Danio rerio: one gene and its partners. The protein of the gene in region 1 purifies or fractionates together with the protein of each later gene. This does not show direct contact. Links are inferred from orthologs where the notes say so. Each region holds a gene or a part of one and is shown in the gene's direction. Other genes may lie near its edges.

What was found. Proteins that work in one complex are often made in the same cells at the same time.
Region 2: the proteins of crkl (region 1) and gab2 purify together in Homo sapiens (affinity purification with western blotting; 3 studies listed by BioGRID). This does not show direct contact. The link is inferred for Danio rerio from reciprocal best matches to the Homo sapiens genes CRKL and GAB2.
Region 3: the proteins of crkl (region 1) and gab1 purify together in Homo sapiens (affinity purification with western blotting; 3 studies listed by BioGRID and IntAct, with this or other methods). This does not show direct contact. The link is inferred for Danio rerio from reciprocal best matches to the Homo sapiens genes CRKL and GAB1.

What each region holds. Positions count from the first base shown.
Region 1 is NC_133196.1:20,320,146-20,322,809, forward strand, and holds part of crkl (crk-like protein), read left to right. Parts: coding exon 1-384; intron 385-2,664. UniProt on the Homo sapiens protein: May mediate the transduction of intracellular signals.
Region 2 is NC_133190.1:10,782,285-10,785,958, reverse strand, and holds the start of gab2 (GRB2-associated-binding protein 2), read left to right. Parts: upstream 1-818; 5' UTR 819-987; coding exon 988-1,059; intron 1,060-3,259; exon of another isoform or gene 3,260-3,674. UniProt on the Homo sapiens protein: Adapter protein which acts downstream of several membrane receptors including cytokine, antigen, hormone, cell matrix and growth factor receptors to regulate multiple signaling pathways.
Region 3 is NC_133176.1:38,639,435-38,643,196, forward strand, and holds the start of gab1 (GRB2-associated-binding protein 1), read left to right. Parts: upstream 1-1,433; 5' UTR 1,434-1,927; intron 1,928-2,017; 5' UTR 2,018-2,067; coding exon 2,068-2,139; intron 2,140-3,762. UniProt on the Homo sapiens protein: Adapter protein that plays a role in intracellular signaling cascades triggered by activated receptor-type kinases. Plays a role in FGFR1 signaling. Probably involved in signaling by the epidermal growth factor receptor (EGFR) and the insulin receptor (INSR).

The sequences.
Region 1 (2,664 bases):
GACTTCACTGGCAGCGATGCTGAAGACCTTCCTTTCAAGAAGGGTGAAATCCTAATAATTATGGACAAGCCTGAGGAGCAGTGGTGGAGTGCCAAGAACAAAGAAGGCCGAACAGGCATGATTCCTGTTCCCTATGTAGAAAAGCTTGTGAGATCTTCGCCTCATCCTGGTCAGTCCATCCATGGTTCACGGAATTCCAATAGCTATGGCATCCCTGAGCCATCACACGCCTATGCCCAGCCTCAGACTCCATCTCCCATTCCTCCTGGTACACCCGGCGCTGTCATCAACCCGCTACCTTCTGTGCAGAACGGGCCAGTGTTGGCGAAGGCGATCCAGAAACGAGTGCCATGCGCATATGACAAAACTGCTTTAGCACTGGAGGTAAGTGGCTAAATGATCGCTCCCATAAGCCAGTATTTGCATTTGACACCCACTCAGGTATTTGATTGATGAAAGGCAATATGTGCAACCTTATGTGCATTTAAATACATATCTTCATTTTTTTTCTTCCTAAAAACCAAAGTTTATTCAGTCAGCATAGATTTCTACTGGCTTAAATGTTAGCTAATTTAAATGCTGGATGCAGTGCTGGCTGCCATAGACACTTAGGTTGGTTAGATTGAAATGGTGCAGCGGTTATACATTTAAAGGGATTTTACCTTTTGCTACATTTTGTCAGATGGTGCTGATTGCTTGGTAATGTGAAATGACCAATATTTTCTTTTGATGACACATTTGTCAGCTCAGTTCTATGTTTTGAAGGGACTTTCCTTAGATGTTTGAGCAAAAAATGACTTTGGTTGAATGCTAGAGAATTAAATAGTGATCATTCTTTTGCTGACTTACTGCATTTTCGAATTTGTGTTTTCACTTTGTGCATTACACTGGGGTTTAAGTTACTTTCACTTCTCATAGTTGGAAAATTACTTTGGCTGTGCATCTCTGCAAGAATTGTTTCAGCAAAGACATTAATCACATAGACCACTATTTCTTGGCTTGTTCACGGTCTAAAAAAGAAATTCCATACTTTAGTCATCCCATCTGGCAAGTTCCAGCACCCCTCTATCCGTTCCTACATGCAAAGCCTTGTCCATTTGTAGAAAACATTACATAACCTATGTCTTAGTCAGCCTGAGAAGGTGTCAGTGGATTTAGGTGTAGGTGCAAGAAAATGTTAAGAAACTCAAAGCTTAGGTTTGTCATTAAGCCCCATGTGTTTTTTCATTGGTTTACTGTTTTATATGAGAGCAGCTTGTATATGGAAATAAGGATTATGACGCACAGTTTGTTATGGCCTCAAGCTAAATGGTCTAATTTAGAGCAGCTATTTCAAGCGTTTTGACAAAATGAAGCATGTCAGTTACTGCATGTAATGTCAATTTCTTAATGTGTTCAAAGTTAATGCCTAGATATTTGTAAGAGTAGTATTTCTTTATTAGTATTTTAATAGATATTAACCAGTACTGCTTTATGCATTCAAAGAATTTCCATGTCTTTGAAAATTTTTTTGTTCCTTTGGCTGTAATTTTTGGTGGGCAGGATATAATCTTTTCCTCAGGCTTTTCCTTATTTGTTTTTTATAGGTTAGGGTTTGATGAAATGTCAAAGCTTTCAGCACGCCTTATAAGAAACCAGTATAATGTTTCTTTCATATAAAATGGTGCATGCTGTCCTCTGTTTACTTGATATTCTAAATTAAGACCCCATGATTTTTGCAGTATTGAAAAGATGGATGGCATCAAATAATCCAATAGTAATATTGACTATTTAATGAGGAAGATCATGGAATTTATTGTCATTTGGATTAATAAATCATAGTATCCCTATCAGTGTTAGGGTTAGTGCATTACAAGTAACGTGAGTTCCGCAATAATATTCCTTTTCTAAGTTCAAACTAAGGTAACACATTATAAAAAAAAAAAAAAAAAAAAGCAATAATATTTGTTACTTTTTAGTTTAATTAATTGGCTTATAAAAATAAATTGCTGAATTAAAAATAGTCGCAATGAATCACGCAGTCAATGAGAGAATTTTTATTTTTAAACAAATTGAAGAAAGGGAAAGGCGGATTGGCTTAATGCATAGTGGTTTTACTTAAGACAAATAGTAAAAAAGTAACAAACACATTGCTTTAAACTTTCAATAATCTGTACACGGCATGTATAGCTCTGGGGTTAAGCAGTTCTCACATAAGATTATCCCAAAGTATTATTTTTTTAATGTGTTTTTTAAAGGTAGATGTAGGTGTATGTTTATACAGTTATGAAATGCAGAGCTCCCCCATTAAAGAAAGAAAAACAACAAGTTCTGGAAGAGATCAAGCCTTAGCTAGGTAATATAAAGTAATGCAAAAGTAAGGTAATGCATTATTTGCTTAAAAAAAAAAAAAAAAAAAAGTAACTGAGTAGCGCAACTAGTTAATTTTTGGGGGACTAACTTAATATTGCAATGCATTACTTTGTAAAGTAACTTTACCCAACTCTGATCCCTATACACAGACCTAATTAGAATGTGATGTGGACTAGTAGTGTCTGAGAATATATGGCAGATTCGTTCACTACACACTAAAGCTGTGCGGCACTTGTGGTATTTTCAGAATGTGTAATGAACTTCATCTCCCACGTCACTTTACCAACATTTAGCCATCATGTACATCATTAA
Region 2 (3,674 bases), on another chromosome or scaffold:
CAAAAATAAAGGACAAAATATGTTGTTTTGAATACTAACAAAGTCATAGTGAAATATATTTCAAATAAATAAGATTAAGTAAATCTAGCAAATATAGTTGTTACTTTACCGATGGGGTCAAAAGTAACAATGCAACTTTGTTTAAAGTGAAGTTATATTAAAGTTGTTCTACACCGATACAAAATAGCACTTGGTTTTGATAAAACACTCTTGTGGGTTAGTATTTCTGCTAAAAACAGTTTTAAAATTAGATTTTTTATGAAAAATTTTACTTTCGTACCCGCTTTCCCCTAATTAGCCTGTGTGTTACATTATTAGGCCTATTTTACATAATATTTTTTTGTAATGAAAACTACTATTTGTAAATAATCAACCAGCACTGAGAGCAAAATTGTGCATTACATACACCAGTCCACAAGGTGACGTGTTTCTCAAACTAATCAACAGATTGGGCGAAGTTACCGACGGCTGTTTCTAATCCCGAGAACACGTTCAGTGCGCTCTGTTGCGGCTCATTTGACAACACCGAGTTATTCCGTCCACGAAAGTACATTTGAACGTCTCAGACACCCTTACAAACTTTACACAAACCCACCAAAAGAGGGTGTAATGTAATAAAGACACCAACTACACATAAAACAGCCGGTGTGGCGAACTCCACACTTGCGCTTCATTGTCTCCGTTCATCCCTACAGCAAAGAGAAAGAGTCCCGTCCCTTGAACACAGTGGGCGTGGTGTATGTGCGAGTGAGTGGGAAAACAAACAGCAGACAACCAACACTTCCTACATCTTCAGCAACTCGAGCGTTCGTGCCCGCAGTGTTTACACAGAGTCCCGCAGCGCGCACAGGACGCGTCCCATCACCAGTAAATGAAGCTCCGCATCCACGGCACTGCCCCGCGCGCGCTCAACATACATGGACCCGCAGCATCTGAGGACTTCAGACTGATCTGCTGCTGTTGATTGTGTTTTTTGCTTTCTGTAAAATGAGCGGAGGAGAAATCATCTGTCAGGGATGGTTGAGAAAGTCGCCGCCCGAGAAGAAGCTGCGGAGATATGTGAGTGTTTAAAGCGCTATGTTCATTTTGTGGTTTATGTTGAGTCAATGAGGAGGAAAACTGTCAACTTTTAGCATCAAACTCTCTATTTGCAACATAGTCGTTCTAAGAAAAGAAAATACTGTTTTGAAATGTGTTTATTAACAGTTTGCTGGTTTAAGTTGGACTATTTAGAAGCAAAGCAGTTGTTTTGATGCTACAGTAGCAAGTGCATGAAGCCCATTTAAGACCAGCGACCAAACCAAGCTGATTAGGCTGGGAGACCAGCAAAACAGTTCAGACTGGTTTTGTTTAACATGTATATGATGATGCTATTATTTAGAGAGCACAGTGTCTGATTGCTGTTGTATTGTTATGCAGTATAGAAGCCTATTCATGACATTTGAGAAGTGTACAGTTGCTAAAATCAAAAGGTGGCCAGTTGATGTTCTAAGTTTGGATTAGTTTATGGAATGCTGTGTGGTAAATATTTAAAAATTTAAGGTTTGGAAGATTGTTTAATAGAGCCTTTTTAGAATTCTAATTTATAGAGTGGGTGGTGCAATGTTATGATCACATGACCTGTTATATGATGTCATTGGCCAAATGTTATTCTGTGTGACACTTTTAGTTTGTAATCATGGAAATAGAAAGTACGATACGTTACTTAGGCAGTGTTTACCCTTTTATTAGCTACAATTAATTAAAGATGATTTTCATGTACATTTTGTAAGTAAAGCCGGTTCTAGTCATAGAGCCTAGTTCACTGACAAGCTGTGCATAATCACGTTCAAAATATCAGGTGATTAAAACATCTAATAATTGATTAAAAAGAGAATAGTTCTGCAATAATATGTAGAATAACTGCGTATAACTTCTTTGTGAATATGGCTCTGTGTTGTTGCTGCTGCTGCCTCATCTGAAATCATGTAAAAATATCACATTTAATAACATACATTTTACTCCAAACTCACTTCATAACTTAATTCAAGAGCTTTAATAAACATTCTGAGAGGTGAGTCAGTACTCAGTTGCTTATATTAGTCATGTAAAATTCATGAACACAGTTCAATCTTGTGTGCCCAACTGTATGGGTATTTGAAGTCTTTTTTTTTAAGTGAAGCACCCTCTGGCCTTTTAAGGACATTTACTACTAATCACACAACTGTGCTTCCCTGACAAGATGTGCATGAGAATAGCAGCTTTTGCTTGATTGCGATTTCATTTCGGTCTACTCACCATACATTTTGACCTTCATTTAAATGAAAACGGTGATGTCATTTGCATGTATTATGTTTCCACTACAGCAGCATAGCATTTCTTTACTAAATTTATTTTTCTATTACAAAGTATTTCTTTTTCTGCTGGAAATATGTTGTTCTAAAAAAACTAAATAAAACATAAGTAAAATATCATACACATGCCTTAAGAACGGTATAGTAAAACATTTTGGTTTTAAAACCTTGACTTTTCCAAACCATGGTATACCTAGAAAACTGTTATCGTCTCATGCCTACTTGTCTGCATTTTGTCAGTAACGCCGGTTCCATGATTAGCTGGTGCATTTAGATAGAGCAGCATTTACTACACAGACCTGTAGTTTGCTGACATACCACACAATATTGCGTTTATTTCAATTTAATCTGTATTTCTGTGCAAGAGTGCCCTCTGGCCATCGCATTGAGATTACTACCGATCATAGAACAGAACCGATGTGCAATCTCAAATCATCTAAATTGTGTTTCCATTTAAGCGTATTATGTGGCCACTGGCCAGATATAGAATATTCTGTAGTTTTTGAATTTTCATGTGAACCAAGATATTTTTGACAATGTAATCTTGCTACGAGTGTGATAGTGCATTTATATAACAGTTCGACAGCATGATTGTGTGTATAAATAAGCTACGTGTGTGATATTGCGTTTATACAACAGTTCAACAGCAAAATTTTGTGTATAAATAAGCTCTGAGTGTGATATTGCATTTATACAACAGTTCGACAGCTAAATTGTGTGTATTCAAACACGGGGACTCTCAAAAACTCTTTTGTACAAGGAACTACTTTCTTCCGCCATTCACATCTGCAGCTGACGTCAGAACAGCAGAAACCTTTGGCAGTTTACAAACGTCACTTTAGAGCAGTTTGAATGATTATCTTGCGTAATGTCTAAAGTGATTGTAACAGCCCGGTTGGAGAAATAAAAGGATTAAACTCATGCACTGATGTTGCACTGTCCTCCTTTGTGCCTTTATTGTTGCATTTGCCGTCCTTAAAGACTGTACAACACCGTAAGAGCTAAGAACAGATGAATAAACACAAATAGAAAAGATATAATGAATAAAAATTCACATAATAAGACAAAACAATAAACTTAGTGACAATATTATAAAGTATCTGCAAATATATGACTAATTTTACGATAAAATAGCAATTTAAATTATTAGCAAGCCAACAAATGCATCAAATTTTAGCAATATGTATAAAAAATGTCCTCATCTACCTTGTTCTCCCTTCCAACCAGGTGTTCAAACAATGAAGATGAACAGAACAAAAAACAAACTCAAATATGCATTAAATCTCTTTTAAATCAGTCCTTAAATCTAACTTTAGCTCCGTGCATTTCTCTGTACAAGCG
Region 3 (3,762 bases), on another chromosome or scaffold:
GGTTTGTAAATAATGCAATACTTCATTAAATATGAAAAATAAATCATTAACAAAGAATGAAAATAATTATTATTAAGCACATTATGAATGTGGTTCTAAGTCAAGAATAGAGCATTTATAGCTGCAGTTATAACCTGCTTACTAACATGTATTAATGTAGAGTAACAGAAAATGAATTCACCATATGTTAATGCTTAATAAATGGTTCATAGTGTGTTGTTATTATTAAGTGTTACCAAAATGTCTTTTTGACTCATTAATGTATTTTAGTGTTAATTATGTGATCTGTGCACCTCCATAAAGTAAAAATTCCATTTTAATCCAAAACCTAAAATCACACGCTTAATGATTGTAGGATAATAATCTAAATCCTTTGCACTGAGTTGAAACTTAGAGCAGTGAGTAGGCACAAAGCTTCAGAGATAACTGAGTGAGGCGTTTAGCATTACAATAACATTCCAAAGATACCAATCCCACAAACGTGAACGTTCTTTACTGAAACTCTTCACTTTTCTATCATTGCCTGCAACCTTGTTCTTTGCTTTTAGATGTTAGTATTATTTTTCTAAAATAATCTTTTTCTGCACTTTAAGCCATACTGTATAAACAAATTCAAGTTTAGTGTAGGCCTATATTTAAATATGTACATCTCCTGGCTATAAATGTAGACTAACGTTAACTGACAACATTGATTTCAAGATATTTGCTTTAAAATGCCATTCGGTTCTTTTGAACAGCTCATTTAAAGATTCGGTTCAAAAACAACATCAGCGAGTCTTTTACGCCATGACGTAATTACGTCATAGTGTATCAAGAGACTTTGATGTTTTTATTTCTTACTTTTTCTCTACGTCTTATAAAGTGTATATCCGCGATGCTGTTTAGTTTTTTTGTGTTTTTATGTGTGAGTGACTGATCTGATTGCTTGTTTGTTAATTCAGGCATTTCTTGCCTAAATGTGATTTTCCTTCACGTTATAAATATATTAGCTACATACAGTAGTTTTACCCTTTTTACCATTTATATTTGTAATATCCTCAGTGAAGAAGCTCATCAATCAAGGATGATCAAAGCCGGCTCGGTTCAGAGACTTTTTTAACCATACTGAAGTGATAAATAGATGTATTGAGTGAAATCGGAATTATATATAATTATAGTCTAATCCATTTTTTTCTTTATTTTTTATCAGTGCGCGTTAATTGTTAAAAGATTATACACAAAATAACACTGCTACTTTGTTTTTCACAGTTTTAATCCAAATGTAAGTAAGATTTATTTGGGACGTAAGAGGTTTATTTACACCTATTCTTTGTAATGCGAGTCACCGTCCCAGTGTTTTCCCTCTGACGGGGCAACACTCCAAGACTACATTTCCCATGATGTAATGTTCTTTATTCTGTGTCTTGACCGACTTCTCCCTGCCTCCATAGGCCAGAGGAGGCTGAGTTTAGGGAAAGTATCGACGTTTATGCTTGTCAATCAGCAAGGAGCCGTGGGGAGTGAAACTGGAGGGAAGGTCGACGATCGGGGAAGATTTCCACTTCCAAAGGCACTTCTGTGCTAATGCGACCATAATGTTTTGGAAAAACAAGGAAAAACTGTACATATTTTCAAGGAAACTGTTTTGTTTTACTTTGAAATAAGGTAATCAAGCAGAGCTTTCACTACGCCGAACTTGGCGAGTATCAGTCGCTGCCTCGTTGCATATCAGCTCGGAAAAAAACGAAAACAGCGTTTTATTTACACGGACAGAGTGTGTAAACTAAAAGGGGACTCAACTACAGACGGATACATGTGTGTTTAAACAAACTGTGCTTGATATATTCCCTTCGGCAGAGGATAGGACTTCATCCAGAAGAGTTTGCGAGAGCCGCGTCGCTGTCGGGAAGCTCTTCCCGTGTGAACGTGCTGGAAACCAGGAGTGACGGTATTCATGTTGTTTCAAACACATGTGCTTAAAACACTTCAAAGCGCAACTTCCAACTCATGTTTAGAAATATGTTTTGATATGTTACAGGCTGAAACACGAAACTTAAAACCCGTGTTTTCCTCAAAGCCTTTAAGAAAATGAGCGGAGGAGATGTGGTTTACTCGGGGTGGCTCCGAAAGTCTCCACCTGAAAAAAAGTTACGGCGTTATGTAAGTAACGTTTTAGTTTTATTCAAATGCACCGACAGTGCAGTAACCGCAGGACTGTTGGGGCAAGATTCATGCAAATTTTCAGTACGCTTTCCAACAGCAACCGCAGGTCAATCACTGCTCGCGATCTGTCGGTTAAAGCTTTATCTTTCTAAAATGCGGACGATCCAAGAATAGTTTCAAAACGGGTTTAGTTCCTCATAAAAATGCGACTGAGTGTGTGTGTGGACGCTGTTTATGTGTTTATTGCACTGGGGTTGTTTTTGTGAAAGCTTTGCTTGTGCAAATCTTTATTTGTGGCGTCTTGATCGGTTCTGTAGACACACCTACCGGTATGGGAACTTTTTGATCAATTAAAGAAGCAGTTCCTTTATTTTTGTTGTTAAGATTTAAACATAAACAAAGAGCACTTTTAAGAAATATCACGAAACATTGGAACTCTGGTGCTATTTTTTTAGATAAGGTTATTTTTTATACACGACGTGGGTCGCCCCTCATGGGTGGCGCCATGTTGGTATCACATGACATAGTTGATCCAGGTACAAATAATAACAAAAGCAGAAATATTTGTTTATATAGTCCTTTAGCTAGTGCCCAGGCCATAACCATTAAGCTACATATACATATTTAAAGCGCAAACGGAACACATGGCTACTTGACAAAGTTTGAATAAATAAATATGCAGCTGCTGCAGATAGACAACTTGTGGTATTCTAGTTAGTACTGGAAAACTAGCTTCCAGTAAATGCACCCATAAGTGGATAAAATCAATACATGGATTTGTGTAGCATGGTAAGCAGAAAAAAAGAAAGACATAACCCAAATCAAACTTCACGCATCCATGCCAAGAGGAGTCAGTACAAGTCCAAGGCCTTTGCTACACCTGTAATCACAAAGAGCCAGCTGTGAAAACCAGTGTGATGCTTATTGTTTGATTTGAATATTGCCATGCATCAAGGTTGCAGAATACAATGCCGGTAAACAGATATATCAAAATAATTTTCAATGTATTCATTAGATTGAGTTGTAATGTTCAGCTCTTTAAATATCAGATCACTACTTGCCCCAATGATGATTGGTTACTTGCTCCCCTATCTTGTGTATTTTTTTTTGTTTTGCAATCATTCTGGTCTGTTGTGAAATTTTCAACATTTTGTTTTTAGACATTTTATTTTTCACCAAATCACACGAAATGCCTTTGTTTGCTGCAACTTTAGTTGCCAAGACAACTGAACACTTAACTCTCCATTCTATCTGCACTGGATGAGTCAATGCATTTAGTCATTCGCACATTGTATGTGTACCATGGGGTCTTCCCTTCCTCTTAGTGGTAATATACACCAATAATCTGTAATGAAATCACTTACTTACAGCTCTGCCTGCTATCGAGCTCCAACCAAACATGTTAGAAATCTCCTCCAGGCTCATGTGATGTTTTTTATTTATTATTGGATTCCTTTAATCTAGTGGAGCTCTTCTTGGAATATTGCTATTGAATTCATGTTTTATCTCATTGTGCAATCAGCAACACGTTTTAGACTCAAACAGCCAAGTATTTTACAAGATTAGAGTATTTGGCTTTTTCAGCCTTTGTGATTTAAGTAGCAGCTATTACATTTGACC